Linked DNA regions of Canis lupus familiaris. The protein of the gene in region 1 purifies or fractionates together with the protein of each later gene. This does not show direct contact. Links are inferred from orthologs where the notes say so. Each region holds a gene or a part of one and is shown in the gene's direction. Other genes may lie near its edges.

Region 1 (15,768 bases):
TTGAACCCTCACAGATGGAGGAAAATTGAGGGTCTCTAAATGGTCTTCTCTAAGTGGGTTCCAAGGCTGGTCCACTCCCAGAACAGCCATGGACGTCGTGCTGGATGAGCAAGGGCAGGGGGCAGAGAAGGAAAGGTCTGCAGAGTTTGGAAGGAAGCCTCCAGACCTTGGACCTGGGGATCACAGGAGGTTGCTTTCCTCCAGAAACTCTCAAATTATAGCACAAGTTCACTGCTGACGCTTTCCAGAGAGTTTCCTGAGGTTCACATCACTTCTTAGCAAAACTGGCAGCAGTGTGAGCCTTGGTCTGATCCCTTTGTGGGGTCCCCATGGAGGACCCTCTGTTACCAGAAGGCTATCATTAGGATTCCACGGGCCCCATTCTCTTCCTCACCATGGTGAGGATTGGCTTTTACATTTTTGTGTTTTGTTTTGTTTTGTTTTGTTTTGCTATCCCTTTGGTCTTCACTTAAGCAAGAAGATAAATCTTACCAGATGGGAAGAATGCCATCATCACCATAGTCCCTGGGAAGTTTATGCGTTTGGCTTTGCCACTTCAGACAGTGGTCACCTCATACCTTGCAGCCAAGCATCACAAAGCACAGTATGGTGGGGCATTTTCACATTTTAGAGACAAATCCCTCAGAGAGGGAATATCTAGGCCCAGGTTGGCGTTGAGACTGCGGGTGCCATGCTGAGCCTTTCAAGCACTACAGCTTATGACCCGGGGGGCTGGTGACCTTTCTGAGTCCATTGAAAATGTCCCCCAGCCTGTACGCTGTGCTGAAGAGACGGAGCGGAGAGAATGCAGCCAGCCCTTCAGAGGCCACGCTGTGCATTATCACCTTGGAAGCCTGAACTCCTCCACGTACCCACCAGACCCCTGGGATGGGTCCCTGCGGTGCTGCTCCTCAGGCCTGACTCTGCACACCCCCAGACTCTCTCCCCCAGGGAACTCGCCTGCATGTCATGCCTTCCAGGCCTCAGGTCAGCCCCAAGAACAGGTTTCTAAGGTCAAAGCCTTATTTTAAAATTCACTGTGCTGCCTGCAGCTCCTGTGTCACCCATGCTCAGACACGTGTTTCCAAGGCAAGTCCTAGGTTAGCAACTGGACAGCAGATCCAAAAACCCACCTGGGGGTATGATGTGTGTGCTCAGTCAGATAACTATTGACCCCGACCACAGGTATCTGGGTTTGCTGGATGGTGCTGAGATCTGGTCCTTTGTCAGGCTCTGGGAAGACCCGGGAGTTCCAAGAATGTGGCACAGGGTCAAAATATCCTGACAAGGGATCAAAATGCTGGGATGCACATGTCCAGCAGTCTTAGCAGCTCACAGCTGAGCATGATGTCAATGCCATGGATTCCACACCACCTCACTGCAAATGCCCGAGGATGGGCAGGCTTCTGTCTTTGCAAGTCAAGACTGAGTCTCTTCGGGGGCCAGAAAACAGCAAGGGGCACCTGGGGGGGGGGGCTCAGTGGGTGAGGCGTCTGCCTTCGGCTCAGGTCACGATCTCAGGGTCCTGGGATCTGGTTCCACGTCAGGCTCCCTGCTCAGTGGGGAATCTGCTTCTCCCTCTGTAGTTCCCTGCCATTCCCCCTGCTTGCACTCCCTCTCTTCTCTCTCTGTCTCTCTCTCTCTCTCTCTGTGTGTCAAATGAATAAATAAAATCTTTAAAAAGAAGGAGGGGGCAGAGACGTGCTTGGGGGACTGGTCTGCAGATCTCTCTGCCTGAGGTCTGTCCCTCGTACCCAGGGAGAGGTGGTGCTGAGAAAGAGCCTCGAGGTCACCATGGGCCCTCACCACCCCCTCCTTGTCCTCTGCCTCTGTTCTCCACTGGCCATTCTCACTGTGACACATGCTTCCTCCCCAGCAGTGCTGAGTAAAGGCTGGTCCTGTGACAAATGGAGGATATGGCTGCCATTCCCTGGGACAGCAGCCTAGTGCCAGGTGGTGCTGCCTGCTGGTGACAGAAGTACCTATCATTCTTCTTGGCCAGTCTGCTGGCCTCGTCATCCCCATCACACCAGTTTCTCTCTGTTGACAGATTTTATCAGTCACAAAACCAAACAGCTATAGAGAATCCATAAAAACTATCAGACCAGACAGCAATTTCTTGAGTTCACTGAAAAATGTCTCCTTCCGTCCCTACCCTCCCTGCTTGTCCCAGGCCCCCTCTCAACGCCCCGCAGAGAGGCCCACAGACTATCTGCAACAGGCCTTCTTCCAAATGCAGGGGCTGGGCCGGGCTCCGCTTTGGGGGGCAATGATAGAGCTGGCCCCTCGGAGCCTGCCTTTCACCTCCGCTGCCCCCGCCTGCCCCCTGCCCCCCCATAATGGTGCCTGGGGCTGCTCATAGGAGCAGGTTGTCACTGCTGGCTAGCCCTCCTAATCACTTCCTAATGCTATCAAGGCTTTAGGCAAGCATTGATTCCATGATTACAGTGTGCAAGCTGTGGAAGGAAGGGAAAGAGAATTAGAAAAAGAAAGCATGCTGTGTGCCTTCTGGTAGCCCACTGAGGAGGCCACAGGGTGGAGAAGCATGGACAGGGAGGAAGACTCCACAGGCAGAGGGAGCAGCTCTGCCCACACTAGGCCCCGGAGGGCTCACAGCACATTCTGGTTGCTGGCATGGCACTTGGGGACGCTCTCTCACATGGCTGTTCCCAAACTGGGGCCCTGGGGCCGTCAGGGAGCCACAGGGAGCATTGAGGTAAATGGAGTCAGGGAAGCATCACTGAGGACTGGCAAGATGAATATGGGTGTTCCTGGGAAGTGAACGGCACAATTCACGTAAGCTAGCTTGTGACCATTTCACACCCTGGACCCCTAGGGAAACAGTCACTGTCATCGGAGCATAGACCTCTCAGTAGCACAAACACAGGCACCAGCTGCCTCCGTCCCTCTATTCATGTGAAGAAATGAAAGAAGTGCCCTCTGGGGCTTGGACCAGCCTTGCCTCTGAGTTTGTTCTCAGGAATAATCGCAGCCTGGCCAGAGCACAGGAAAGCCAGGAATGACCAGAGGCCAAAGGGCCCACCAGCTCCCAAAGCCAGGATGGGGATGGAGGCATGGCTGCTGGGGTGGCTGTGGGGCTGCGCGAGCCTGAGACACTCACAGCAAGCATGGCCTCTGTAAACAGTTGGGGTGTCAGGAGAGCAATCCTCCTGCTGCAGGAGGATGCTTTGTCCTTGCCATGGGCCACCCCTCAGAGCCGAGACTTTAATGCCCTGCAGGTACCCCCCTGCCCCAGGGCCAGAGTCCCCAGCCAGGGTCAGGAAGGCAGCTCGCCCACCTCCCTGCCATTGACTTCTTACTCTCCGCTTACATCATCATAGGGACTCCACTAGGAAGGTGGCGGTGTAGTTTTAATCAGGTATTTGTTTACTGGGTTCCACTTACCATGTAGTGTAAGGTTTTCTGTTTAGGACAGGAAGAGCAATTGTCCCACTTCTCTAACTCTGTAGGAGTGCAGCCATGTGTTGCTGGAGCGGAAAGATGTCATCCCGGTGGCTAACAGAAAATGTTTTTTCTGCTAATGGACACTCCTTTTGATGAAGGCTTTGCATCAGCAGCAATCCCCACTTAATGGTTGCAATGACCTGAATGACTGTGTCCCCCGAAATTTCAACACTGAAATCCCAGTCCCTGAAGTGATGATACTAGGAGCTGGGACTTTTAGGTCAGAAGGGTGGAGCCCTCGTGAAGGAGATTTTTTTTTCCATGAGGGGGATTAGTGCCCTTTTGAACGAGACCCCACAGAGCCCCCTCACCCCCTTCCACCAGGTGAGGACTCCACGAAAGACAGGCATCTATTAACTAGAGAGCAGGCTCTCACCAGACACCGAAACTACTAGCCCTTTCATCTTGGCCTTCTCGCCTCCAGTCCTGTGAAAACTAAATTTCCATTGTTTACTGTGGTGCTCTGTGAGAGGAGCCCACATGGACGCAAACACTGTGCTTGTCAGGGTTTTTTCTTGTTTTGATTCAGTACATTGTTTCTATGAAAACTGTGTATACACAGTGTTACTATATGTCTCACAAGGGGATAATGTATATTTTTTAACTGAACTATCCTTCATCTAGAGTGTGATATTGGTTTCAGGTGTACAACACAGTGATTGGACAATTCTGTGCATTACTCAATGCTCACCACGAGTTACCGCACAAAGTGACCACACACATTATTGACGATATTCCCTCTGCTGTACTTTTCATCCCCGTGACATTCACGACTGGCAGTTTGTACCCCTTCCTATCCTTCACCTGTTTAATCGCCCACCCCTCCACCCCTTTCCCTCTGGCAACCACCAGTCTGTTCTCTATTTCTGAGTCTGTCTCTGTTTTGTTTTGTTGGTTGGTTCATTCTCCTAAATTCCACATATGAGCAAAATCATATTATTTGTCTTTCTCTGTCTGACTCACTGACCCTCTAGGTCTATCCGTGGTGTTGCAAATCACAGGATTTCCTTCTTTTTTTATGACTGAGCAGTAGTGGTCTGTTTCTTCACGCTGTTAGTTCTATCTACATGGCAGGCGCCAAAGGGAGTCTGTTGGCAAGATCCTCCCTCCACACTTGGCCTGGATGCCTTTAGGACATGGTCAGCTGCCTTAGAGTGCAGAGGACACTGGCTCTGGCTCCGGTTTTGTGCCCAAGATCTGCCATCTGAACCCACCAGGAGTAAAGCAGCTGTGTGTGCACCCACGTGCAAGAAGAACACGTGGACCCTCATTGGAGAGTAGGGAATCAGTTAAGGAGAAGACAGAGGAGTCTGGGGTGACCTCTGGGGACATCTCACATTCTCAAACTGAGTAGCTGACCAAAAAGAGTGATAGGTTGAGGAAACAGGAACATAGACAAGCCACACTTGGAGGATCAAGCATGGAAGCATCTACAGAGCAACCAGAGGGACCCCTTTAAAATATCACCAGATCACAATGCTCTCTAATTAGAGCCCCCTTCTCCCTGGGATTCTATTATACCTGGAATAAAATGCAAAGTCCTTTCCTGACTTACAGGGTCCCCTGGGACCCAGCTTCCCTCCTCTCCCTCTCCCTGTTCTCCATCATCAGCCCATCATTAGACTGGCTCCCCCGCACCTCAGAGCCCCGACACATCTTGTTCCCTCCGCCCAAAGCACTTCTTCCTGGATCTTCCACAGCCATGCTCCCCACCCCATAGCCAGTCTCTGCTCCAGGTTTACCTGTCCAGAGAGACCTCTTCTGGCCTGTTAGGTGGAAACAAGCTCCCACATCCTGGAGCAGAAAGCAAAACCCTGGTGCCCCCACCCTCCCACACCAGGGACCCCACTAAGAGCCTTCTCTACATGGAGCCTGGGTCTCCCTGCTTTTCCCTCACCATCGTGGATGCACCTGCTTACCACACCCAGCTCATCTATTTCCAGAACCAAGAGACCTGTCTCTTCGGCCTGCACAGCCTGATTCAGGCAATGTGGGTTCTCCCCAAGTTGGCTAATATGTTGACCTCCCAGGGGTCCAGGGTCCCTAGGCTGGGGCCTGGCAGCCAGGGGAACTAAGCAACTGGTAACTAGGCAGTGATTAAATAGAGACCAGTTCCAGAGAAAGAAGAAAAAAAACAAAGATGCACTGGAGCCAAAAAAGAAGAAGACTGAACAGTAAGGCCGAGGGCTGAACGTCCCTGGATTTGGAGCCGCGGGAGCGGCTGGGAAGGAGCAGAAAGTCACCTGAAGGGGTCCTGAGGGAAAAACTAGAACAGAGGACGAGTTAGCGAAGAATAAACAAATGAAAGATGGGGGGAGCTGGGAGGCCTGCAATTCCTGGAGAAGGGGGAGACCCGGCTCCTGCAGGAGGGCAGACCCAGGGCGGACTGCGGGCGGGAGGGGCTGCAGGCGGCAGGGCCTGAAGGGTGCAGGGTTCCCGGCCCCCACTGTCCGTCAGTCGAACGTCAAGGGCGCACAGAGCCCGTGACCCACGCGCCCAGATGGCGGTGACAGGCCCGCGTCTGCACAGCTGGACGCCGACACCCCGACCTCGGCAGGTCCTGCCCGGAGGCGCCCCGAGGCTCCGCTTCGCTGATTGATCTCGCAAGAAACGGGGGCGCGCTGGCCTGCGGGGTCCTGGGCGGTCCTGCGTGGGGGCCCCCGGGGCGCACCGGGCAGCCTGGGGCCAGGGCGCGGGCCTGCGGGGAGGGGCGGGGGGGAGGCTCAGAGGCCCAGGAAGCCGTGGCCCGCACGCGGCGCTCGTTCCCGCCGGTGCCCCCGGTGCGCGCGCGCCTCGTTCACGGAGCGAGGGCCTGGGGTGCTGAGCCGCGTTCCCAGGCCGCGGCGCCCACTGCGACAGCACTAGGCAAACTCGCGGCGGGCCGCGCCGCGCTCCTCGGCTCAGCCTACCCGGAGCGCCGGGCCCCGCCCACTCCCCTAGGGCCGTTCCACCCTGCTTCCGCTTCCGGTCGCGGGGGTAGGCGGGGCCCGGAAGCGGCGGCGGTGGCGGTAGCGAGGGGAGCGCGGGGCCGGCGATGGCTGCGAACCTGAGCCGGAACGGGCCGGCGCTGCAGGAGGCCTACGTGAGGGTGGTCACCGAGAAGTCCCCGACTGACTGGTGGGCCCCGGGGGGGTTGGGGGGGCCCGGGGGCCGCAGGTGAGCCGCCGCACCGCGGTCCCGCCGTCCGCTGGGTGGGGGTGGGGGCCCCCGCCGCGCCCCGGCCCCGGCCCCGCCGCGCCCCGGCCGCGCTCCCCGCCGGGGGCCCCGCCCAGGACACCCCCGCACCGAGGGGCTCTGCGCAGCCCTCCGCGAGGGATGGAAGCCGCGCCGGGCCGCCCGGGAGCTCAGGGGTGTGCGTGGGGCTCCGGGTTTCCGGGCCTGTGGGCTTCAGTCTCCCTCCTTCCAGAACAGCCCTTCCGGCGTGAGCCCTGCGCGGCCGCCCCGTCCCCCGTATACCCCGGCGCCCTCCCGGGCGGTCGGTGTGCGGTGGCCCTGGGCGGCTGTGGGTCCTGCAGGCCCCGCTGGCTGCGCGGGGCCCTCCGCTGCGTTCCCGGTGGCCTTCAGTTTCGCTGACCAGTTGTGAGCATTTCCTAAGAAAGACGCTGAGTGTGATGACCAAGGGTGACCGGCTGTGAAGGAGCGTCTTCCCGGGGCAGGGGCAGGTCCCTCTCAGGGTGGCAGAGCCGCGGAGCCCTGCAGCCAGCACCGAGGCCTGGGGACACGCGCTCGCCGCAGCACCGGCTAGCTGGGTCTACGGACACAGGGGACCCCGGGGGGGCCTTCTGCGCGGTGTTGCCGGGGAGCCAGCAGCTCGTGGGGAACACGTTGGGAAGGGCTTCAGTGCCGCCTCCTTCCCACGATGCTGTAGGGAGTTCGCGCACACATCAGGCTCTCATTTTTCTATGAGTTTCCAAGTGTCACCACCCTCACCCCCGTCCTGCCTCTCCCATTCTCAGAGAACCCTGCTGTTCCTCCAAACCACCATACCGCCGCGCTGGGTGCCCCATTTCACATCCACGTGAGGCCACCTGACTTTGGAACCTGGGAGTGTTGTTTGTCCCTCTCCAGTCCCGCTCGCTTAGGGTGTTGCTGTTTCACGTCCCCTTTCTTGTCCAGCATAGCCATTGCTAACTTACCTGACGGAGTCCTAGGCCTCCTACTGCCTTCCTTCGGGAGTCTTCACTCTTAGGGACCATCACTGGTTTGGGGAGGAGGTCCCACAGCCCAGTGGGCAGTCCAGGCCTCCCACGTTTCTAGCTATTCCTTGGGCTGCGTCTCACAGCTATCTGCTGCCACCCTACCTTCCCTTTGTCCCCTCGCCCAGTCAGAGCCCCCCACCTCCATCTGACCAGCCAGCCTCCTGCAGCACTGCAGGTCATACACGCAGTGGCACAGACCCTGGCTTCCCTCATCATTATCACAGCCTTAAACATCCCAACAGAGAATGTGTGGCCTGTCCCCACTTATCCACTGAACAAGTATATAGACAGGTTACTGCTTGAATTTCAGTGGCTTCCTCTTTCACGTGGAATAAAGCTCAGACCTCTTGCCTGGGCTCCTAGGTGCTGTGTGGCCAGCTCCTGACCCCTCTGGCCACCCCTCCCACTTACCACACTGGGGCCACACCTGTTTGCCACCACCGTGGCCTTCTTTCTCTTCCTCAAACTTGTGAGCTGCTTCCTCCTCAGAGCCCTCTCACTCTTGCTGCTTCCCCATTCTAGAGCACCCTTCCACATCACCCTGGGGGTCTCCCCACACTGCCTTCTTGGAGAGGCCTTACTTGACTCCTGGCGCCCTGTGCGACTTTCCCTAGATACATGCCAGACGCTGCTCTCCTCGCCACAGGCTGGGCCCTCTCTGTCCCCAGCGCAAGGCTGCTGTGTGCCCTCAGGGCTCGCATGGACAGTGACCTAGAGGGGTACAGAACATGGGGCAGAGGATACCAGCAAGACAAGGTGGGCTCTGGCTTGGTGGGTGCAGAGCAGGTTATGCCGGTTGGGGGCCTGAAGCTAGGGAGGGTGGGGAACAAGCGCATATCAGCTCTGCATCACAGGTCTTTGCTTTGGTTCCCGAGGTTGTTCTAGACTGAGGCATGTGAGTTTACCTCCTGCACCTACTTTGCTGCCTGACAGGGTGTTAGTCTGGATGGGTTTCTTTTTTGTCTCCTGTTAGAAAGTAAGCTTCATGGTCCCGGCCTGTTGGGGTTTATTGGAAGCCTCATGCCAGGGACCAGCAAGCGGTAGGTTCTCAGTACGTGTTTTAGGAAGGGTTGCTTGCGTTACCAGGTGCTTGGTGCACCATGCTCCGTGTGCTGTGCCCAGGTGAGCACACCACTTGTCCACGGTGATTTGAAAGATGGACGGAAGTCTGTTGAATGTGGGAATGAACCTCTGAGCCAGTAGCATTCCAGAAAGTGGGTTAGGCTGGAGCCCAGAGTGGAGGGGAGTGAAGATAGAGGGCAGGCAGCAGGCATGGGCCCCTTGGAAGTAGGAAGTATCTCTGCTCCCTGCAGCTTGTCCAGCGTCCCCATCTTCTGCAGCCAGGGCTGGGTGGCTTCGAGATATACAGGCTTCTTTCCTCCAGCAGGAAGGCTGGCCAGGACTCCGGCCCCCAGAGTCTGGACGTCCAGCACCTCCCATATTTTTTCCCTGTTGGCGTGTTCCTTCTAGTGTGTGTCTCCTCCTCGGAGGCCTGTCCCCCTGCCAGGCAGACCGGCTAGGCCTGGGGCTCCTTTCTTCCCACTTTCTGACACTCGGAGCTCTGCCTGGTGGCCTTAGCAAGGCCTTGGGGATGCTGAGTGGAGGCTGATTTCATTCCTATCAGATTCTTTTTTTTTTAAGGTTTTATTTTTAAGTGATATCTACACCCAACATGGGGCATAAAGCCACAACCCGAGATCAAGCGTCGCACGCTCCACCAACAGAGCCAACCAGGCGTCCCGGTTCCTATCACGCTCTTTACCCCGTGGCCCCTGTCTGGCCGGCCTGGGCAGGCCTGTGCTCAGAGCATGGGGGGATGACCCGCTAGTCCAGGTTCTGCCTCTGACCTGCTGTCTGCTGGGTCAGCACCCCACCCCCTCCACCCTCCGTCTGCCAGCGCCACCTGGAGCTGAACTGCGGCTATTGATGGTTGGGTCCTGTGTGGACTGTGGATAAGCCACCTCTTCCAGAAAGTTTTCCATGGGTCACCTCTGTGCTGGTCAAGCAACTTTCCATGCCCTAGACGTAATAAAATTTGCTGTATTTCCTGAACACCTCGGGCCCGGTTCATAGGCATGAATCTTTCCCAGAGTTCTTAGGTGCAGCCCAGGGTCACCTGTGAAGACTTAAGGCTCCTCCAGAAAGAGTTTTCCCAACCATGAAGTCTGTCCCATGAGGAGACTGACTTCGTGCTGAGTCATGGCCCATATGGCTTCTGGGTTTTCCAGGAGAGTCCCAAGCCCAGAGAGACCTGCTGCACCAACTCCTCAGGCTTTCGGGAGGCAGAGCACACAGGCACCAGGCTGTGGTGTTGGGTGTGTGTTGGGCTGCCTTCCCAGATGTCCAGTGTGCGCACTCCCATTTCCTGCCTCACCTGCTGGGGTGCTTTGGTTCCGGAAGGCATGGGAATTCTCTGTCTTCTCCAGTTCTCGTACCTGGGAGGCCCGTGGGGTCTGGTGGGGCCCATGTGGCTGTCACGCTCAGCTCCTGGCAGGTGTGGCAAAGGCCACAGAGCTTGTTTGTTTTGTTTCAGGGCTCTCTTTACCTATGAGGGTAACAGCAATGACATCCGTGTGGCTGGCACAGGGGGTGAGTATGTCCCAGTGAAGGCGGCGGGGGGCGGGTTGTACGCATTGGTGCTCCCTGGCAGCCTTGGCCATCACAGCTAATGCAAGGAGACTGCAGGCACAGAGGTGTCCCAGCACGTGGCGAGGCTGCTAGGACCGCTCCCCACCACAGTGTCGGTGTTGGAGCTACATGCAGCTCTGTTACTCAGCGAGTGCTCACCAGTACCTCCTCCACTGGCTGCTCAGTGGTTCTGACTGGGCTAGAAAACCTGCCTCTCACTCCCTGCTGGTCATCTGCTTAGAAGGAGGTCTCAGGCCCCTGTGTTTCTTGCCAGCACCCCAGGGGTACTCACAGGGCTCTGCTGTGAGAGCCCAGGGTAGGGGCTCAGCACTGCCCCAAGCCCGTAGGGGCCCTCCAGCTACATTACTCGATCCAGCTCCTTATAGCCTGGGTGGGTTTGGGGGTGCTGATAAGAACAGCTGAAGAGGGCCCACTCCTGTGCGCCCATCACTCCCTTATCTTTACGTGGAGGGTCTGAGAGCTGAGCCTGAGCACAACTGCAGACTGGTCCCATCTGCTCAGGGCCCTTTGTGGGGTCCAGGCAGCAGGAAGATGGTTGCAGAGACCCTCTGTTTGGAAGCTTCATGCCCACTTTGTTGCATGACTGTCAACATTTGTTGCATTTTTGTTTCTGAAGCTGTCTGGGTTTTATACTAATGGTTTTTAGGTTGGCATGTGGAACATCTCACCTGAGGTGCTTGTTACAGACACAGATCCTGTGCAGCAACTTAGTGGGGGCAGGATGAGGAGTCTGATTCTGCAGGCAGCACTGAGCCCTGGTTCCGAGGCAGATTGGATTTCCTCTCCTGGGGGGCACTGTGCCAGGGCAGGCAGCAGGTGTGGGACCCTCTGACCCTCCCTGTGCCCACTGCAGAGGGGGGCCTGGAGGAGATGGTGGAGGAGCTCAACAGCGGGAAGGTGATGTACGCCTTCTGCAGGGTGAAGGACCCCAACTCTGGCCTGCCCAAGTTTGTCCTCATCAACTGGGTATGTGGAACCCGGGGGCCTCTGAGTTCTCATCCAGGCGTGACCCCGAAAAGCTCCCTTTCCTGCTTTCCTCCTTTGCCTTCCGTGGTGGGAGCGGAGGAGGACCTGTCTTTGGGGCAGCTCAGAGGTGGTGGATGAAGTCCTTGTGCCCCAGACGACAGCGGGAGCACTGCTAGCCCAGAACCACTCCCACAACCAGCAGTACAGTTCAGGACACCCACACATTTGTCCCCTTCAGGGGGTCGTCCTGAGGGAGCGAAGGGCCTGGGGAGACCAGGAGGTTCTGAGGCAACCCCCCACCCCCACCAGTGGAAGCTGGCAGTCATCCTGCACTCAAGAACCTCCTTGACTTGAAGGATGTGGGGCTTACCGTATGGTCTGCTGTAGGGTCACAGTTGTCCCTCTGCTGGGTCCCTAGGGAGGCAGGGCGGTGGGAAGTTGGCAGGTCACGCCGGGTGTGTCATGTTGCAGACAGGCGAAGGTGTGAACGATGTGCGGAAGGGAGCGTGCGCCAACCACGTCAGCACCATGGCCAGCTTTCTGAAGGTGAGGGCTGCACCCTGAAGGCCTCACACAGGTCTCCAGGCTCCTGCGATCTTGGGCGGGCGTGAGCGCGAATCACAGCCAGAACCGGAAGTGGGTCCCACTCCCCGATGCTCTCTTTGGACTTGAGGACATGAGCAGAGGCTGCTGCGCTCCTGCTTGGCCAGCACCCAGAGGGCCATGCTGTGGCCAGAGCGACCAGCAAGCTGGTGTTAGCAGCGGGGAGGAACAGGCGATTGTCCTTTTCAAGCACAGGGAAGGCCAATCTGGAGCGAGGTCTTGGGTTCCGTTGGTTTTGTGAGGGTTTATTCAGCCGTGTTGTCAGGATTTGGAGGAGCAGGAAGGGTGCAGGTGCCCAGCCCCCTCAGCGGGCACATTTCCCTGTACCCTGTTTGTAGCCAACCTACGTGTGTATTTACATCAGTCCTCGCAGCGGAACCTCGTTTAGTTCCAGAAGCCTTTGTTGTTTGCTTGTCAGATAACCTGCATTTCTTTGGTTACTGGCAGAAAGATCTAGGACTTTGATTTCTAGTCTGCTGACGCTTTTTCAGACATGCCTCAGTTTCTCCATCTGGGAGCTGAAAGAGGATCCCAAGCTGTTGGATGTTTACCAGCAGGGAGTGAGGTCATGGGTCTGACTTCTCAATAAGAAATTGGTGCCTGAAAAAAAAAAAAAGAAAAGAAAAGAAATTGGTGCCTGGGGCGCCCAGCTGGCTCCGTGTGAGGAGTGAGCGACTCTCGATCTCAGGGTCCTGAGTTCAAGTCCCAGGTTGAGTGTAGAGATTACTTGAATAAATAAGACAAAAAAAAAAAAAAAGGAAGAAGAAATAAGTGGTTTGCTCTTTGCAGAAATTGCATTTCCAGATCCTTTTTTAAGTTGGCTTTTCGTTAATTTGTTGATTTCGTTAATCAGGACTATTTCCTGCCTGGGCCTCCAGCAGCGAACACACAGCCCTGGGGAATCAGCTTGGGAAGGGGCAAGGTGCTGGGGTGAGAACAGGCTCTCTGCCTCAAGGTAGTTTGTCGGTCTTGTGGAGAGCGTGCCTAGGGCCCCAGCAGGGTCTCCTGACCTCGAACCCCAGGCAGCAGTTGTCTGCGCTCTGCAGACTTGGGGCTGCGTCCTGTCCTCTCCTGGAGCTGCAACACCTAGGTGCTGTCCTGCTGCAGGGGGCGCATGTAACCATCAACGCGAGGGCTGAGGAGGACGTGGAGCCTGAGTGCATCATGCAGAAAGTGGCCAGGGCCTCAGGAGCCAACTATGCCTTCCACAAGGAGAGTGGTCGTTTCCAGGACATAGGCCCTCAGGCCCCAGTGGTGAGTGCTGCCCAGGGCCAAGCGTGTCTTATCCCTCAAGGGCTTCCGGTCCTGGAGGCAGATCTAGGTGCAGATGGTGAGCCTAGGCCAGAGAGAAGCCGGAGCTGCCTCCTAGTAGGCAGGTGCTAGTGGGCGTGAGGAGCAGCCCTCTACCCTGCCTGCTGGTTCCACTGGCTATTCTGGAGCCTCTTACACCTGTTTTGTGTGGTCAGAGGCTCTGCAGGACAGTCCAGCCTGTCCTGAACGGCCCTGGATGGTGGGCACCATGGGGGAGCTTTAAGTGCTGGATGGTCAGGCCCCTTCCAGCTGTGGGTAGACACCAGACATCCTGGTTATGGGGAGCCCAGTTCCCCGAAGCAGCGCTGCAGTCTGTGGAGTCTCCCTGGACACTGGCACGGTGACCAGCTGTCTGAGGCTAGTGGACCAGCTCCTAGAAGCAGCCAGCCTCAGAACCTCCTTGGCTTCTATCCATTGGGGCCTAGTGCAGCCAAAAACCCCCTTGGCATTGCCCAGTGGTTCCTGGGGCCTTCAGGCCATCTTGGTGAAGAGGCCCCGGGCCAGGTGTCACTGCCACTGCTAGGCACGGTCCCCACAACTATTGTTCACGTTCTGTGCTCCCGCAGACGGTCCTGTAGCGGATCCTCTGTCGTCCACAGGGCTCTGTGTACCAGAAGACCAACGCCATCTCTGAGATCAAAAGGGTCGGCAAAGACAGCTTCTGGGCCAAAGCAGAGGTGAGTGCTGTGCGGGTGCGTCGAGCACAGCCAGCCCTCAAGGAGATCATGCGTGCCAGGTGTCAGGGTGTCTTCCTTGCCGTCCCTGTGTTTCTCATGATAAAGAACACGTGTCCTCATTAGTGGCTGCGCTTGAGCACGCTTCTGCACAGGCCACACTTGCATGGGGTGGGGGGGCAGGAAGGGAGGCTCGCCTGCTTGCTGTGCAACTGCTGAGTGGGGCAGGCGGGGTCGGCTCTCCCTGCAGAAGGAGGAGGAGAATCGCAGGCTGGAAGAGAAGCGGCGGGCAGAGGAGGAGCGGCAGCGACTGGAGCAGGAGCGCCGGGAACGGGAGCTGCGGGAGGCAGCCCTCCGGGAGCAGCGCTATCAAGAGGCACAGGCCAGTGAGGGACCCCAGAGGTGAGGCCCCAGAGGGAGGGCAGAGGGAGGGTCTCACATGGGCTGCAGCTGGGCTGCAGCACCTCCCTCTGCTCCCCCAGCAGGAGTGAGCAGCAGGAAGTGGCTTCAAGGAACATAGAGCAGGTGAGATGTGGGTGCTCCCACCCTGAGGGGTCCCTGATATGCCGGGGCCCCAGCCCAGCAGGCCTAGGGAGGGGGCCGCTGAGAAGGTCCTGCAGCCAGCTGGGACCTGTGGGTACACAGGAGGTGGCAGTGGAGAGTGAAGGGCAGAAGCGGCCAGTGTGGACGAGGCCCGTGAGCCCCTCCCACATATCCGGGACCCCTCACCGCTGGGTCCACATGCACTCCCCACAGGAGCCGGTCAGTCAGCCAGCACACCCGCGGGAGATCTTTAAGCAGAAGGAGAGGGCCATGTCCACCACTTCTATCTCCAGCCCCCAGCCAGGTGAGTCTTCCCTCTGCACCTCACCGTGAGGTGGGGGCAGGCCGAGCGAGAGCCTAGGATCCCAGTGTGGGGCCCCCAGAGGTAGTGACACGTCAGACAGGCAAGTGAGCAAGGAGAGCTTGCACTCCTTAGAGTGGCTTCTGGAGGGGAGCCTGGGCCTCAGGTGTCCCTTTCCTGCCCATAGCCTCATCCTGCAGAGACCTGGAAAGCAAGGGCCATGTGTGGCTTCAGAGGGGAGACCCTCCAGCCCGGCCCTATTAACCCGTGGTGCAGCACGCACAACGCAGGACCACACTGCTGCCCTCTCCCACGCTGTGCCCTGGGTGTCTGAGGTGTGCACGCCGCTGGCGCTTCAGCTGCTGTGTGCCCCCCCATCCTCCTGTGCGACAGCCATTGTCCCACTGCAGGATGCAGATCTTCTCCTCCTCCAGTGCAGGTGCATTTACCTTTGGTTTGCAGGGAAGCTGCGGAGCCCCTTCCTGCAGAAACAGCTCACCCAGCCAGAGACCCATCGCAGCCCGGAGCCCACCCAGGCCTCCTCCAGGCCCAGGGCAGGCAAGGCATTTGGCCGCCCCTGGGGGGCTGGGGATGGGAAGTGGGAGGGAGGAAGGGTGTGCGATCCCCTTCCCGGGCTCAGAGTGGGCTGCATCCTCCTGTGCAGATATCCATGAGGAGCCCGTGTCCAGCGGTCCGCCATGTGTGGTGCAGGCGGAAGAGGAGGCTGTGTACGAGGAGCCCCCGGAGCAGGAGACTCTCTATGAGGAGCCCCCAGTGGTGAGTTCCCCACAGCAGGGCCTGGCTGTGAAGGGGTCACGTACCCAGAAATGCTCTCTCAGCCACGCTAGTCACGGGATGCCTGACTTTTCAGTAGCTCCCTACATGCGGATTATCTCGTGTAACTTGGGGCAGTCCCTTGCAGTACTGTGGGAGGTCATGGGGGGTGGGCAGCAGCAGCCAGTGAGCCTGTAACTAGGACCCCAGATTTCCCTTCTCTCCTTCGGGGGGCAGGTGCTGCAGCAGGATGCCGGTTCTGAGCATGTGGACTCCTACCCGG
Region 2 (15,668 bases), on another chromosome or scaffold:
GCCGGGGTCCGGCGGGGAGTTGCACCCCCGCACCGGGCGCCTGGTGAGCCTGTCGGCCTGCGGGCGTACCGCGCGGCGGCAGCAGCCGGGCCAGGAGTTTAACCACGGGCTGGTGTTGAGCCGGGAGCCCTTGCGCGATGGACGCGTCTTCACCGTCCGCATCGACCGCAAGGTGCGGAGCGGGGCCCGCGGGAGGGAGGCGGGAGGGGGCGAGCGGGAGACGCGGGGCGGGACGGCCGGGCTGGCCTCCGCCGCCGGCTGCCGAGAGCGAACCGACACACCGTCGCGGCACCAGGCGGCGGGCGGGGAAGGGGAGAGGGACGGCGAGAGCTTTAGATTGCTCGAGACCCCGGAGCAGGGAACGGACACGGGACGCTGCCACCCCAGGGGTGGTTAGGGTCCAGATCTCCCGGGATGGTTTCTGGGGAGGTGAAAAGATGGAGGGATGTCGGGGATGTGGTAGGAGCGCAGGAGAGAAGCCGGGGAAGGACCGGCCGTTGGAGGATCAGCTGGGGCGAAGAGGTGGGTGAGGAGAGACCCTCAGGGGGGCCGAGGGGAGGTGTGCCTGCTTGTGTGCCCCTCGGAGAAGAGGCCAGGTGCACACAGATGGAACTTGGGAAGAGAGGGAATCTGAGTGGAGCAGGAGCCCTGGAGAAAATGAGGTCGGGGGTGGGGGGAATTGGGAGGGGGGAGGAGGGTGGTAGACAGGAGCTAGGAGGATGGGCATGGAGAGCCGGGAACTTGGATGCTGGAAGCCAGGGGGGCTGCAGCCAGGGCATGGTGGTGTTGGGGACAGATCCCAGAGTGGGGGCAGAGTTGCTGGGGTACAGCGGGCCCAGCAGTCCCTGAGACAGTCCAGATGATTGCTCACAGGACCACCTCTCTAGAGTCGTGTCTTGGGTCTCAATAGAGAAAAGCCAGTTAGCTGTTAGGGGTGTGGAGAGAGGGGGACACGTGGTTTGTGAAATGTGGTTTCCTAGTGGTTGGGGACCCACGGTAGCCCATCCTGAGCCTCTGTCCACCACCCTTATCACAGGTCAACTCCTGGAGTGGCTCCATTGAGATTGGGGTGACGGCCCTAGACCCCAGTGTTCTGGACTTCCCAAGCAGCGCCACAGGGCTGAAGGGGGGCTCATGGGTAGTGTCAGGCTGCTCGGTGTTGAGGGATGGACGCTCTGTGCTGGAGGAGTATGGTCAGGACCTGGACCAGCTTGGTGAAGGGGACCGTGTGGGCGTGGAGCGCACAGTTGCTGGGGAGCTGCGGCTCTGGGTGAATGGGCGGGACTGTGGTGTTGCCGCCACGGGCCTCCCCGCCCGGGTCTGGGCCGTGGTGGACCTTTACGGCAAGTGCACCCAGATCACCGTGCTGCCCCCCGAGCCAGGTTTCAGCCCCCCTGCTCCCATCCCCACACCTCCCCTCGAGCCCTCTGCACCCCCTGAAGATTCCACCTTGACTGAACAGGCGACCTCTGGGGATGAAGGTGAGAACCCAGCCAGGGCCGAGGGGAAGAGGCGGGGCAGGGGGAGTGGCAGAAGGCATGGGTGACTAGTGACCATGGAGTCTGGGTTCGGGTAGGGCCACTCAGACCCCAGTCTGCTGAAGGGGAAGCAGGGGCTACAGGAGGGGTGTCCTGGTTGTGGGCCCCGCAGCAGGGGCTGGACCCTCATTCCCCTCCCACCCCGCCTGGTCCCCAGCCTTCATGGTGTCCCCAGCGCAGCCCCGGCCGGAGACGTTTCCTAACAGCCTTGAGTCGCATAATGGTGAGGGCACCCTGGAGGCTTTGGGAAGGGGAATGGGAAGTGAGGCGGAAGGTGAGGGGAGGGGGCCCTCAGGAGAGGATTAGGGGGAGAGTGGAGGGCCTGAACGTGTAGAGCCTCATTCCGGCTTCCCTCCCCTGTCCTGCCGCCTAGACTTTGCCAGCATGGAGCTCTCTGAGGTGGTGGGCAACGCCATCCTTTCTGCCTACAACGGGGGGCTCCTAAATGTGAACCTGAGCTCCCCACCGGCAGGGGAAGGACTGGGGTCTGGCGGGGCTGCCACCTCGCCCATCCTCACCTCCAACGACGCCCTGCTCTTTCACGAGAAGTGTGGGACTCTCATCAAACTCAGCAACAACAATAAGACAGCTGAGCGCCGCCGGCCCCTGGACGAATTCAACAACGGGGTTGTCATGACCAACCGCCCTCTCCGGGACAATGAGATGTTTGAGGTGTGTGAGGTCCTGGGCCCTGGCTGGTACCTCACCCTCTGGGAACCAAAAATGGGGCTCGATCCCTGACATTGGAAGGGTGGGGCCGAGGGTCCTCTCTCCACATTGACATGCCCTCCTCTCCCTCCTGCTGTCGCTCCCCCCAAGATCCGCATTGACAAGCTCGTAGACAAGTGGTCGGGCTCCATTGAGATTGGTGTCACCACCCACAACCCCAACAACCTGGAGTACCCTGCCACCATGACCAATTTACAGTCAGGTACCAGCCCTGGCGGGGCGGGGACACCTTCCCATGGTGAAGGAAGGCCTGGCCTGATGCCGGGCGTCTGCCTTCCCACAGGCACCATCATGATGAGCGGCTGTGGGATCCTGACCAATGGCAAGGGCACCCGCCGGGAGTACTGTGAATTCAGCCTGGATGAGCTGCAGGTAAGGGGTGGGCGTGCAGTCTGGGCCGCGCTCTGGGGCAGCCTTGTTACCCAGCACCCCTGCCCGGGCACCCCAGTCTCCGCTGTGACCTGGAACAAGGCTTCTGATCTTTCTCCGAGAGGTTCCTTCTGAGAAGGCACGGTTGCCTGGTAGTTAGGCACTCAGATTTCAGAGCCAGAGGTTTTCTTTTTTTCTGAGGGGTCGTGTGGGGTCATGACTACAGTCAAGAAGCTTGCTCACTATGTTTGGTATGGGTTTCTTTTTTTCTTTTCTTCTCCACGCCTGAGATGAGCTCATGAATTGCTTGGAGAGGTGGCTAAGGTGCTGTGTATGAGGTGGCTTCACCCTGTGCCAGACTTGCTGTGAGGGAGGGTTCAGGGGCTCAAGACTCAGGTGCCTTTGGGGCTGTTCCCCTGCGGCCTGGGCCAGAGCCTGATTGGAGGCGGATTCCAGATCTTTGTTTTTCTGCTCTGACTAGGAGGGCGACCACATTGGTCTCACAAGGAAGTCCAACTCAGCCCTGCACTTCTTTATCAATGGCATTGATCAGGGTAAGGAGATACCTGAGGCAGGCCATTGGGCTAGGGCTTTCGGTGTTGGGCAGGGGTCTGTACCTCACCGTCCTGTGTCTCCCTGATGCTGGTCTCCCCATATTCCTTCCCTCTCTGCCTTCTCCCCGGCAGGCGTGGCTACCCCACTGACACCCCCAGTGGTGTACGGCGTGGTGGACTTGTACGGGATGGCTGTGAAGGTGACCATCGTCCACAATAACAACCACAGCGACCGGCTGCGTCGAAACAATGCCATCCTGCGGGCACTGTCCCCCGAGGGCGCCCTGCGTCGCGCCACTCCTGCCACCCAGGCAGAGCCCGAGCGCCTGCTCTTCCACCCTAACTGCGGGCAGAAGGCAGCTATCACCCACGAGGGACGCACTGCCCTGAGGCCCCAGTATGGCCCATGGTGTGGGGAGAAGCCTGCTGCAGGGACTCTAACAGGATCGGAGGAGGGGTGGAGAAGCAGGAGGCAGGCGTGGGGGGGGGTGTGTGGCTTCTGACCTGGGGAGTTCTTGATAGTATGGGGGGGTGCCTCCTGGAGAGTGAAGTTCAGCCACGTGGCTCAGCACCACAGGTGTGAGGTGGGCACTGGCGGGCTAAGCTTTGGTGTGCTCAGTTACGCATTCGCTGTGCCCTCAGTGCCACAGATGACTTCAACCATGGCGTGGTGCTGAGTAGCAGAGCCCTGCGGGACGGAGAGGTGTTTCAGGTGCGCATCGACAAGATGGTGGACAAGTGGGCTGGCTCCATTGAGATTGGTGTCACCACCCACAACCCTGCCTACCTCCAGTTGCCCTCCACCATGACCAACTTGCGCTCTGGTGAGCTCCCAAGGAGGGCGGGGCCAGGATCAGGTCCTAAGGGGGAAGCTGCCCCCACAGCCCCCACGGAGCTGGCTTGTTCTTGTTTTGCTGCGGCGGCCTGCCACGGGGGCGAGGAGTGCCGTGGGGGCTGTGAAGGGCAGGGGGCCCGGGGCTCACTTATGTGCTCTGTGTTTCCTCGTTCTCCTAGGGACCTGGATGATGACCGGGAATGGGGTGATGCACAACGGAACGACCATTTTGGACGAGTATGGGCACAATCTGGACCGCCTCAAGGTGGGGGAGCAGGTGTGCCGCCCAGGCCTGGTGATGGGGGGCAGGCCCATCGGGGCTGCTATAGGACTAGCCCAGGCGGGAACTCTGCCTGACTCCTCACTCCAGCCCCCCTTCTTCCAAGGCAGGGGACACTGTGGGCGTGGTGCGGCGGGAGGACGGGACCCTGCACTTCTTCGTCAACGGGATGACCCAGGGCCCTGCGGCCTGGAATGTGCCCCCTGGCGTCTACGCTGTTGTGGACCTCTATGGCCAGGCAGCCCAAGCTACCATTGTGGATGACGTGGGTGAGGGCTGGGATGGGTAGGAGCTGGGGGGTGCTGGGGTGGCCTGGGGTGGCTACCGCCCAGGCCTGGTAGGAGCTGGGGGGTGGCTGGGGGGCCTCGGAGACCACTGGAAGCCTAACGGGTGATGACCACTCTCACAGAGGTGCCCCCGGCCCCTGAGCCCCTCTCTGAAGGGAACAACCAGGTGTCTCCCAGCTCCCCATCATCAGGGGCCGGGGGCTCTGACCTGCGCTTCCATCAGCTGCACGGCAGTAATGCAGTCATCACCAACGGGGGCCGCACCGCACTCCGGCACAACTGCCGCAGCGAGTTCAATGACGCCATCGTCATCTCCAACCGGTCAGTGTTGGCGCTGTCACGGCCCCAGCCTCCCGCCGCCCAGCCTTGGCCACCCAACTGGGGCCTGATTGCCGCTGTCTCTGGCAGGGCCCTGCGGGACGGAGAGCTGTTTGAAATCGTTATTCAGAAGATGGTGGACCGCTGGTCAGGCTCCATTGAGGCTGGTAAGGGGCACCTGTGCATTTCTGCATGCGTGCATGCACGTGTGTGACAGACTCTGTGTGCTGGGGATGGTGCTGGCTGCCCGTTGCTGGAGCCTTGGTTCTGACCCCCTGCTGCTACCTCCTAGGAGTGACTGCCATTCGGCCGGAAGACCTCGAATTCCCCAACACCATGACAGACATTGACTACGACACATGGATGCTGAGGTTAGGCTGCCTGTGGGGACAGCCAGCCTGGCAGGGTCAGGTGGAGCTAGTGAGGATGAGGGAAGCCAGCTTTGGGGCCTTCGGTGGCCCTGGACAACGACAGGTCCAAGGGATCGGGTCGCTCTTTTCTTTCCATTCTGGGAAGTGCTCCCATGTCACCACGCACCCCACGGTGGCCCAGCTTCCTTTTCTCCTCTTATGGCAGCTCCCGCTTTTCTCTGTGGGTGGTCCCCAGAGGTATGGGAGACAGGATTGGGTCTCAGACCCCAGATGAAGATCCTGATGCAAGGCACTGGAAGGTTCTGACGATCAGAGACTGCTCAGAGGCCTGTGTGGGGAAGAGGCGGGAGGCTCAGCGGTCCTTCTGTCCTCTCTCCAGTGGCACGGCCATCATGCAAGACGGGAACACGATGCGCAACAACTACGGGTGTGACCTGGACGCCCTGGGCACGGGTGCACGCATCGGCATGATGCGAACAGCCAAGGGTGACCTGCACTACTTCATCAACGGCCAGGACCAAGGCGCCGCCTGCTCAGGCTTGCCTCCGGGTAAAGGTGACTGCTCTGTGCCTTTTGGCCCGCCACCCTCATGCCAGCTCAGCCCGGGCTCTCGGGCTTCTGATCCCCTCCTTCTCCATCCAGAGGTGTACGCAGTAGTGGATCTTTACGGCCAGTGTGTCCAAGTGTCCATCACCAATGCCACCGGCCCCATGGACAACAGCTTGGCAACCAGCAACACTGCCACCGAGAAATCCTTCCCTTTGCACTCCCCAGGTTCAGCGCGTGGGGAGGGCGAGTGGGCTATGCTTGCAAGCCGGGGGCTGGAGGGATGCGGCGACAGCGGACGGGGAGCTGCTCAAGGACAGGGCAGCCCCCTCAGCTACAGACCCAGGGGAGGGAATAAGCTGGGGTAGGAAGCCATCAGGAAGAGGCTGGAGTTGGGCCAGGGTGCTGGAAGCTGCTCATGTGCTTGGGGATTGGGGCTGGCTGTGGTGACCAGGGTCGGAGGTCGCACGGCAATGGCAGTCGGGGCCTGAATGGCAGCTTCACAGTTCACCTGAAAGCCTTGACCCCAGTCCTGCCCCTTCCTTTCTCCGCAGCGGCTGGCGTGGCTCACCGATTCCACAGTACTTGCGGCAAGAATGTGGCCCTGGAGGAGGATGGCACAAGGGCGGTACGTGCGGTGGGCTATGCGCATGGCCTGGTCTTCAGCACCAAGGAACTCAAGACGGAGGAAGTATTTGAGGTGCGCGGGGGGGCCCTTGTGGCAGGGCCAGGCTGCTTCCTGTCCTCCTGCTCCTGCTAGTGCCGGCTGCTGTGCTCTCTCTCCCTCTCTTTTACCCCCTCAGGTGAAAGTAGAGGAACTGGATGAGAAGTGGGCGGGCTCCCTCCGGCTGGGGCTGACCACACTAGCGCCCGGGGAGATGGGGCCTGGCGCAGGTGGGGGCCCAGGGCTGCCTCCCTCCCTCCCGGAGCTCCGGACAAAGACCACCTGGATGGTGTCCAGCTGTGAAGTGAGGCGTGACGGGCAGCTCCAGAGGATGAACTACGGCCGGAGCCTGGAGAGGCTGGGGGTGACACTGTTGGCTCCAGGGACGGGGTGGAGGTGGGCACATGGGTGAGGGGGTGGGGGGCTGAGCATCTGTGCTTGTGTCACCTCGATCCTAGGTGGGGAGCCGCGTGGGCATTCGTCGGGGCGCAGATGACACGATGCACATCCTGGTGGATGGAGAGGACATGGGGCCCGCAGCTACCGGCATTGCCAAGGTGGGTCTGAGACGTTTCTTGGGTTTGGGGGTGCAGGCTGGAGGCCCCCTGCGGGTGTCTAACTCCTGCATCTACCTCCTGCCCCCAGAATGTGTGGGCCGTGCTGGATCTCTACGGGCCGGTACGGAGTGTGTCTGTGGTCAGCTCCACAAGGCTGGAGGAGCCCGAGGGCACCCAGCCTCCATCTCCCAGCTCGGACACGGGCAGCGAGGCCGAGGAAGATGACGATGGGGAGGAGCACAGCTTGAGAGTGAGAGGCTGTGTGGGGCACACAGGGCATGTGGATGGCCACTCAGTGGGCCGTCGGACACCGGGGTGTTCCGGGGTTCTCTGATCCTGCCCCAGGTCGCAGAGGCGTAGACGCAAGCTCTGTGTCAACGCCAGGCGGAGGGTGGGGCGAGGCAGCTGGGCCTCGCATGGACAACCCCAGCAGCCCATCTCTGCTCCATGCCAGGGTCAGAGTCAAGTGGCCATGATGTCGACGTCACTGGAGTTCCTGGAGAACCATGGGAAGAATATCCTTTTGTCCAACGGGAACCGTACGGCCACACGCGTAGCCAGCTACAACCAGGGCATCGTTGTCATCAACCAGCCCCTGGTGCCCCAGCTCCTAGTCCAGGTGGGCATTTGCTCCTTAACCTGCTGCAGCTCTTCCTGTGTGGGGTGACCCAGGGCCAACCCTCCTGGAGAAAACCTTTCCATTTGAGGGCAAGGTAGAGGCAGCCCCCTTGGATGAGCTTCATGGGCTGTGATTCGTTCATACCCTGTGGTGGGGTTTGTGCGTGGACTGTGTGGAAGGCCCACCTGGTAGCTGGTGAGGGAAGCAGTGGGGATGGGCTGGCAGGGTCCCAAGAAAGACACTTGGTACTACGTGTGGGTGCAGAGAGGGCTTTCCAGTGGAGCAGGCCTTCCTGCTACAGGAAGGAAATAAATGAACCCGCTGTTTGCAGTCCCTCCCTGCCTCAGCAGGGGGGACATTGCAGGGCTCCCCTCCGGGAGGTGCCAGCCTCCATCCCTGGCTGGGGTGGGGAGCCTCTTCCCAGAGGGCCATGATCCCGGAGTGGCCGCCTTTCCCTTCCAGGTGCGGATAGACTTCCTGAACCGGCAGTGGACATCTTCCCTGGTCCTGGGAGTCATCACCTGCCCGCCTGAGAGGCTCAACTTCCCTGCTTCTGCCTGCGCCCTCAAACGGGCAGCCTGGCTGCTGCGGGGCCGGGGCATCTTCCACAATGGTCTCAAGGTGGGTAGGGAGCAGGGGGAGGGGAGAGGGCCAGGACTCAGCGTTGGGCAGGGCTGGCCCACAGGTTGAAGTGGGGCCTCCAGCCGTGGTGGTGAGGCCACAGGTATAAAGGTGCACTGTAGGGAAAGACTATGGGGTTGGGGGAGCAAGAGCGGGAGCATCATCATCGGAACTCTGGGGCGTCCTGTGTCTTTCTGCATCCTTGCCATTGAGAATGTTGTAGGGGAGGACAAAGGGAAGCAGACTGTAGGTATTTGAGAGATGGGGTGGAGCCTGGGCAGAGGGCGAGCATGGTGTCAAAGCCCTGGCATTGGCAGTCCCAAGTAGGTGAAGGGCTATATGGACTACAGTGGGCAGTGGGCAGCCTTGGCTGCTGCCGGTGGGAGTCTGATCTTTGGGAAGACAGTAGGTCTCTCTTCCTAGATTTGTGAGAAGTTTGGGCCAAATCTGGACACGTGTCCTGAAGGCACCATCCTGGGGCTGCGGCTAGACAGCTCTGGGGGCCTGCATCTCCACGTCAATGGGATGGACCAGGGGGTGGCGGTATCAGATGTCCCCCAGCCCTGCCATGCGCTTGTGGACCTCTATGGGCAGTGTGAGCAGGTGAGCGGCAACAAGGGCCTGGGGTGGGGCAGTCTGTGATCTGGGAGCCAGTTAGCAGGCCCTGGGGGCTCAGTCACACTCATCACACTCTCTCCGGCAGGTGACAATCGTGAGTCCTGAACCAGGGGCAGCCAGTGGGAAGAGTGCTGGAACCCAAGGGGACATGGAGAAAGCGGACATGGTGGATGGTGAGCCAGCCCACAGGGCCGGGCCTCTCCCCAGCCCTGTCCCACCCCGTCGCCCCAACTCCCGTGACCCGTGCCCCCCTCTGTCCTGTCAGGTATCAAGGAAAGTGTGTGCTGGGGCCCCCTGCCAGCTGCCAGCCCTCTCAAGAGCTGCGAGTACCACGCCCTCTGCTCCCGCTTCCAAGAACTGCTGTTGCTTCCTGGTGAGTGTCTGGGTGAGTGCCCGGTCATCCAGAGCCTGCCTCACCCCTTGGACCATTGCTGGGCTGTGCTCAGAGCCCCGGGAACCAGCAGGAAGGGGTCTGTGTGCTGGAGGCCCAGGGCGGGAGCTGTAGCGCCCACACTGCTCCTCACTTTTTCACAGAGGACTATTTCATGCCTCCACCCAAGCGGAGCCTGTGCTACTGTGAGTCTTGCCGGAAGCTTCGAGGTGACGAGGCCCACAGGCGCCGTGGGGAGCCCCCCCGGGAATACGCGCTGCCCTTCGGCTGGTGCAGGTTCAATCTCAGGTACACGCAGGGCAGGGTCATGCGTCTGCTTTCGTGCTCTTTCTTCCTTGACGAAGGAGGCTCCCAAGAGGGTGCGTGGAAGAAGCCACAGAACCTTTACTGGTCGAGGGGAGGATCTTTGTCCAGTCTGCCCGGTCTACACCCTAGGGTGAATCCCCGCCTGGAAGCTGGAACGATGACTAAGAAGTGGCACATGGCATATCACGGGAGCAACGTGGCAGCCATCCGGAGGGTGCTAGACCGAGGAGAGCTGGGAGCAGGTCCGGGGGCAGGGGCAGAGAAGGGGCAAGCCAGGCCTGGGCCAGGAGGCTCTCCCTGCAGGCACCGCCTCCATCCTGACTGGCTCTCCCCGCAGGCACCGCCTCCATCCTGAGCTGCCGGCCCTTGAAAGGCAAGCCTGGGGTGGGGTTTGAGGAGCCTGGCGAGAACTGCGCCCCACCCCGGGAGGAGCAGCCCCCTTCCGTCTTGCTGTCCCCCTCCCTCCAGTATGCTGGGGCCGAGACCCTAGCGTCCAAAGTGCAGTGAGTACATGGGGGCTGGGACTGGGGTCTCCATGGCTTCCCATTGGTGTCCCCGCTGTGACACTTGGGTCTTGTCTCACTCTAGCACATTTACTGTTGAAGGTGACTAGTACTGTGGAAATAAAAGTAGAGTGGGACGCAGTGGGTCCCAGGTGTGCTTTGCACAGGTACAGGCACACAGTAGTCAGGGTAGACATGGCGACGAAGGTTAGGTTTGGGCAGAGGCCTGCAGAGGGAAGCCAGGGAGCGCCCTGGAGAGACCCCAGCAAGCAGGGGTGCGGCCAGAGCCAAGCCACCTCTCTCTGGGAGGTGGGAGTGACCCCCCCCCTCCCCCCCCCCCCGCAGGCAGCCGAGGGAGGAGCCTGGAGGCCTCACGGCTGGCCTTCTTCTTGCCCTGCAGATTCCGGGATCCCAAGTCCCAGCGAACGCACCAGGCCCAGGTGGCGTTCCAGGTGTGCGTGCGCCCGGGCTCCTACACCCCCGGACCCCCTTCGGCCACCCTCCGAGAACCTCCCGACCCTCACTTCAGCCCCGCAGAACTCGAGTGGATAACCAAGGAGAAGGGGGCCACACTCCTCTATGCCCTGCTGGTGCGGGTGGAGTGAGGGCTGGCCTCTGGACGACAAGCACAGTGGGGCCCCCCCGGCCCTGGCTTAGCATCCCCTGCCGCGGCGGGTGCTCCCCGAGCCCCCGGAGCCCCCAGAGCCCGACGCATCTCTGGAGCAGGAACGCATCTCCGCGTGCAGGGCCCACGCCTCCCACTCGGGGCCGGCAGTCTCCCCTCATGCACTGACTCGGGGAACACGACTCCCTGGACTCCCTCCCCCGGATCACTTAATTTATTTCCGTTTTCGTTCCTGTTACTGTGAATCCCGAGGAGCCTCCCCGGGCCGCCGGGCGGAGTGGGGGCGGGCGCGGGGAAGGTGGGCCTCTGTACAGTTGTTACGGACGCGGGTTTCCAAGGAGCCAATAAACGCTGTCCCAGAGCGCGCGCCTCGGCCTCTTTCTCATTCATCCCCCTCTCGCACCGCCCCCCGACGAGCCCCAGGGCTGCCCAGCTGGGGGCGCCCGGCGCGCCGACGGAGTTTGGCCCCCCGCGGCACCCGTCGCAGCCGCTTCCGCCCTTCCCTGCGCCCGTCCCGCGAGGCCGCCGGCCGCCCCGGCTCCGGAAGGACTCGGCCCGGCAGCCGGATGTGACGCGCGGCCGAGGCGCACAGGAGCCGCGGAGAAAGCGCAGCGAAGGCGGGTAGGGAGGGGCGGGCGGCGCCGAGGCCGGAGACCCCAGCCCGCCGGCGCACGCGGAGCACAGGGGCACCCGGAGCACCCGGGACCGGCCGGGCGGCGGAGGGTGGGCGCCGGGCACGTGACCGGGGCGGCGGCGGCAGGCGGGCTTCCGCCTCGGCCCGCGGGCGCGACCCTCCTAAGCGCCCGCTTCTCGGCAGGCCCGGCCCAAGGTCTGGCAGTCCGTGACAGAGCCGGGCGCCCACGGCCCGAGCGTCCCCCGTGGCACCATGCCCGCGCTCCTGGAGCGCCCCAAGCTTTCCAACGCCATGGCCCGGGCGTTGCACCGGCACATCATGATGGAGCGGGAGCGCAAGCGGCAGGGTGAGCCCGGCCGAGGGGGAGGACCCCCAAGCCCCGCACCATGGGCACAGCGCCGCGCCGCGGCCGCGCGGGAGGAGGGTGGGACGGCCCGCCACTGGTGGAGGGAGCTGCAGGCCGGGTCCGGGCTCCAGAAGACTCGGGCCGGGAAGGACCTTGGAGAGCACCTGACATACCCTCCCTCCCAGTCCCCTGGGAGGAGAGGAGCAGAGGGAGCACTGGCACCGGCAGGTTTCCCCGCTTCTCCATCTCTAACGTCCTAGTGTTTTAACCACCCTGCGTTCTTCCCATTGCACCTGGTTCTTTCTCCAGAGGAAGAAGAGGTAGACAAGATGATGGAACAGAAGATGAAGGAAGAGCAAGAGAGGAGGAAGAAAAAGGAGATGGAGGAGAGAATGTCACTAGAGGAGACCAAGGAACAAGTAAGCAGCCCCCTGCTCTGTCCCAGCTTTTTCCTCCTTTGGCTCTCCTGCCGTCAGCTCCTCTCCCCTGCCTTCTCAGATCCTGAAGTTGCAGGAGAAGCTGTTGGCCCTTCAGGAAGAGAAGCACCAGCTCTTCCTGCAGCTCAAGAAAGTTTTACATGAAGAAGAGAAACGGAGGCGAAAGGAGCAGAGGTGGGATTGGAGAGCTAAAAATAAAATTGAGACAGTAACTGGGATGGGTAACACCAGATGGGTGTCTGATGGCAAAAGAGGGGGCACTTGTCTTCATTCTTGGTTTTGACCTGCCTGCCTTTCACTGCAGTGACCTGACCACTTTGACTTCAGCTGCGTACCAGCAGAGCCTGACCGTCCACACTGGGACTCACCTCCTCAGCATGCAGGGTGAGGAATGAAGAACCCGCTTGTTAGAATGCACCCTCCCGGGGGTTGCAGCCACCCCACTGCAGCCTCATGAAGCCCGTCTCCCTGTCTAGGGAGCCCTGGAGGACACAACCGCCCAGGCACCCTCATGGCGGCTGACAGGGCCAAACAGATGTTCGGACCCCAAGTGCTTACAGTAAGGAGTAGCATTGGGTGTGTAGCCCGCCATTTCCATGCAGACACGGGCACCCGCATTAAACAAGTATTCAAGTCACCAATGTTGTCCAGCACTTGACCAAATGGTGGAAAATTGGGCACATACAAGGCGCTTGGGGTTCTGCTTTGGAGGAGTTTCCAGCAGCAGCCAGCGCTCCTCTTCCTTCCTCAGACGCGACACTATGTGGGCTCTGCAGCTGCCTTCCCCGGGACCCCGGAGCATGGCCAGTTCCAAGGCAGCCCCGGCAGTGCCTATGGGACCGCGCAGCCCCCGCCTCACTACGGACCCACGCAGCCGGCCTATAGCCCCAGTCAGCAGCTCAGAGGTGAGCCGTGGGTTGGGAGGGGGGCGCTTCCTCCAAGACCCAGAGGCCGCTGGTCCCAGGCAGGCCCGAAGGAGGCTCGACAGGCTGTGCCTCCTGCCTCCCTCAGCACCTTCGGCGTTCCCAGCAGTGCAGTACCTGTCGCAGCCGCAGCCACAGCCCTACACGGTGCACGGCCACTTTCAGCCCACCCAGACAGGTGAGGATGCCCCCGCCAGGGCCCCAGGGCTGAGCGTCCTCCCCGCCTCCGCGTTCCACACACCCATCCTTCCCTTTGTAGGCTTCCTCCAGCCTGGCGGTGCCCTGTCCTTACAGAAGCAGATGGAGCACGCTAACCAGCAGACCAGCTTCTCAGACTCTGTGAGTACAGAGCCTGGGCAGGGCAGGGGCAGTGCTGGGCCCAGGGGTGCCCCAGGCCGCCTCGGACCCTGACTCTCTTCTCCGTAGTCCTCCCTGCGCCCCATGCACCCACAGGCTCTGCATCCAGCCCCTGGGCTCCTCGCCTCTCCTCAGCTCCCGGTGCAGATGCAGCCAGCAGGAAAGGTAAGGCCAGGGGTCGGACCCGGCTGGGGCCCTACCCTTCCAGGGGGAAAACCAGATTGTGTAGGAGAGGCGGCGCCCACCCCTCCTCTCCCATTTCCTCCTGGGGTGGGGATGGCTGGGAGTTCGGGTGTAGATTGAGGGGCAGGGTACACACCAACGAAGTCCCCCCACTTCTGCCACCAGTCGGGCTTCGCAGCCACCAGCCAGCCTGGCCCTCGTCTCCCCTTCATCCAGCACAGCCAGAATCCACGATTCTACCACAAGTGATCATCAGATTTTATCTTCAGCCTCAGCCACAGCCCCTGACGTGGGTGAGGGAACTTGGTGTCCCAGTCTAATAAAATTTACCTGCCTCTGCCCCTCTGCTGCTGTGTGCATCACCTCCCTCCCGGGCTGGGCCAGGGCTGTGTGGAGGGTGAGGAGTGACAGGCAACTAACAGGTGAAGCTGGGTGGGTGGGTAAGAGGGAACTCTTTGGCATAGTTGTTTATGTGTAATTTCTAAGTTGACTTTCTAGTCAGCAAATACCCATTTAATTCAAAGAAGCAACTGAGTTGGGGCCTTCATATTAAACTTGTAGTTTTATTCAGGTTTGATTTTAACAAATGTGTCGGGGAGAGAGCCCACAGGAAAGGGTAAAGCCCATGGGGGCAGGGCCCTCCCAGATGCCTGAGGAGGGGGCAGGTCCCCTCCCCTCTCCTCCTCTTCCCTCCCCAGATAAAGGAGAGACTTAGGCAGGGGAGGGGGCTGGTCCCCAGTCTGTGGGGTGGTGCTGGGGTACAGGGCCATGGGGACAAGGACCAGAGCAGGGATGAGGGGGAGGGCACAAGGACCAATCGCCAGAATCCACAGCTTTCTGATTCCAGACTGAATTAAAAAAAAAAAAAAAAAAAAAAAAAAAAAACCAAAAAAAAAAAAAAAACCACTAAACCACAAGCAGCACCCACCCCTTCTCCCCGACCAGGGCTGTAGTGCGAGGGGAGAAGAGGAGGGCAGCTTCACCAAGGCCATGGACCACTCACTCCTGGCCGAGAGAGCAGGATGAAGGGCAGGGGCTCCCCGACAGATTGAGGGGGTGTGGGGGAAACCAAAATAAAACGTCAAATAAATTGTGTAGGAGGAGTCCAGCCAAGCGCCGGGCCAGAGCTGGGCCAGAGCTGGGCCAGGCTGGGGGAGGGGGCCTCTGCAGGCTGAGGATCGCTGCTGCCACCACCGCCACCCTGGGGAGGAGAGAGATCAGTGAGACCAGAAGATGCCATCAGGACAGGGTGAGGCCCAGGCCGCAGCCAGAAGCCAGCCAGGAACTGTCAGGGGCTAAAACAGGGTTCTGATGGGGATGGGGGCGTGTCAGTCAGTCACCTGGGAGCCAGTTATTTTGCCATGGCCTTGATTGCAACAGCTGCCTCCTCTGTCATGGCGGACAGCACCGTGATCTGAGGGCACAAAGGGCAGAGTCAGAAGTGAGCCAGAGGCAGGGACATGGAGTAGGGCTGTGCACTGGGGGCAAGAGGGTATGTACCAAGATCTCTTCTCCACAGTCATACTTCTGCTCGATCTCCTTGCCGAGATCTCCCTCAGGCAGACGAAGGTCCTCTCGCACCTCCCCGCTGTCCTGGAGCAGTGATAGATACCCATCCTGGATGCCGATCAGCTGGGGGCAGAGAGAAGGGAGCTGAGGGTGGGCCCAGGGGTGTAGGGGACAAAAGAGCGGCCAACTGACCACACCAAACTCCTCGCCATCTCTCTACTTCTTTCAGCACAAGCTCTTCTGGTCAGCCTGTGCCCCCTCCCCCACCACCACCCCCACTAAAAGGCTAACCCGCCTCTGTACCTGGAAGTCATTCCTCTTGATGTTGGGGACATCCATATTATGAGTTGACGGGCAGATATCTTCATATTTCTTGCCAGTAAAGATGTCAATACCAACCAGGTGGACCTATACATATACATCACATGAAAGAGACACCCAACCAAACTCTAGGATGAAAGACAAAAGCTTCAAGGTGCCCATAAGCAGTGAGGGAAGTCAAACTAGGTGGTTTGGGCAGAACCAGAGGAGGTGGAGCTGAACCAATC

The links.
Region 2: the proteins of DBNL (region 1) and NEURL4 purify together in Homo sapiens (co-immunoprecipitation; 4 studies listed by BioGRID and IntAct, counting the BioPlex papers as one, with this or other methods). This does not show direct contact. The link is inferred for Canis lupus familiaris from reciprocal best matches to the Homo sapiens genes DBNL and NEURL4.

The regions. Positions count from the first base shown.
Region 1 is NC_049237.1:14,467,816-14,483,583, reverse strand, and holds the start of DBNL (drebrin-like protein), read left to right. Parts: upstream 1-6,427; 5' UTR 6,428-6,499; coding exon 6,500-6,582; intron 6,583-10,197; coding exon 10,198-10,253; intron 10,254-11,166; coding exon 11,167-11,279; intron 11,280-11,649; exon of another isoform or gene 11,650-11,750; coding exon 11,751-11,825; exon of another isoform or gene 11,826-12,989; coding exon 12,990-13,136; exon of another isoform or gene 13,137-13,792; coding exon 13,793-13,870; exon of another isoform or gene 13,871-14,117; coding exon 14,118-14,269; exon of another isoform or gene 14,270-14,305; intron 14,306-14,349; coding exon 14,350-14,392; intron 14,393-14,623; coding exon 14,624-14,714; intron 14,715-15,173; coding exon 15,174-15,269; intron 15,270-15,375; coding exon 15,376-15,488; intron 15,489-15,722; coding exon 15,723-15,768. UniProt on the Homo sapiens protein: Adapter protein that binds F-actin and DNM1, and thereby plays a role in receptor-mediated endocytosis.
Region 2 is NC_049226.1:32,477,784-32,493,451, reverse strand, and holds the end of NEURL4 (neuralized-like protein 4), read left to right. Parts: coding exon 1-172; intron 173-294; exon of another isoform or gene 295-414; coding exon of another isoform or gene 415-522; intron 523-1,036; coding exon 1,037-1,481; intron 1,482-1,695; coding exon 1,696-1,761; intron 1,762-1,911; coding exon 1,912-2,210; intron 2,211-2,357; coding exon 2,358-2,469; intron 2,470-2,550; coding exon 2,551-2,639; intron 2,640-3,117; coding exon 3,118-3,190; intron 3,191-3,322; coding exon 3,323-3,587; coding exon of another isoform or gene 3,588-3,662; intron 3,663-3,832; coding exon 3,833-4,014; intron 4,015-4,204; coding exon 4,205-4,290; coding exon of another isoform or gene 4,291-4,302; intron 4,303-4,411; coding exon 4,412-4,574; intron 4,575-4,714; coding exon 4,715-4,913; intron 4,914-5,000; coding exon 5,001-5,077; intron 5,078-5,202; coding exon 5,203-5,281; intron 5,282-5,660; coding exon 5,661-5,836; intron 5,837-5,923; coding exon 5,924-6,055; intron 6,056-6,381; coding exon 6,382-6,527; intron 6,528-6,630; coding exon 6,631-6,855; and 25 more. Other genes in the region: GPS2 (G protein pathway suppressor 2), read left to right, coding at 11,618-11,711, 12,021-12,130, 12,210-12,322, 12,453-12,532, 12,625-12,707, 12,900-13,053, 13,160-13,249, 13,331-13,410 and 2 more; EIF5A (eukaryotic translation initiation factor 5A-1), read right to left, coding at 14,963-15,025, 15,112-15,243, 15,424-15,528. UniProt on the Homo sapiens protein: Promotes CCP110 ubiquitination and proteasome-dependent degradation. By counteracting accumulation of CP110, maintains normal centriolar homeostasis and preventing formation of ectopic microtubular organizing centers.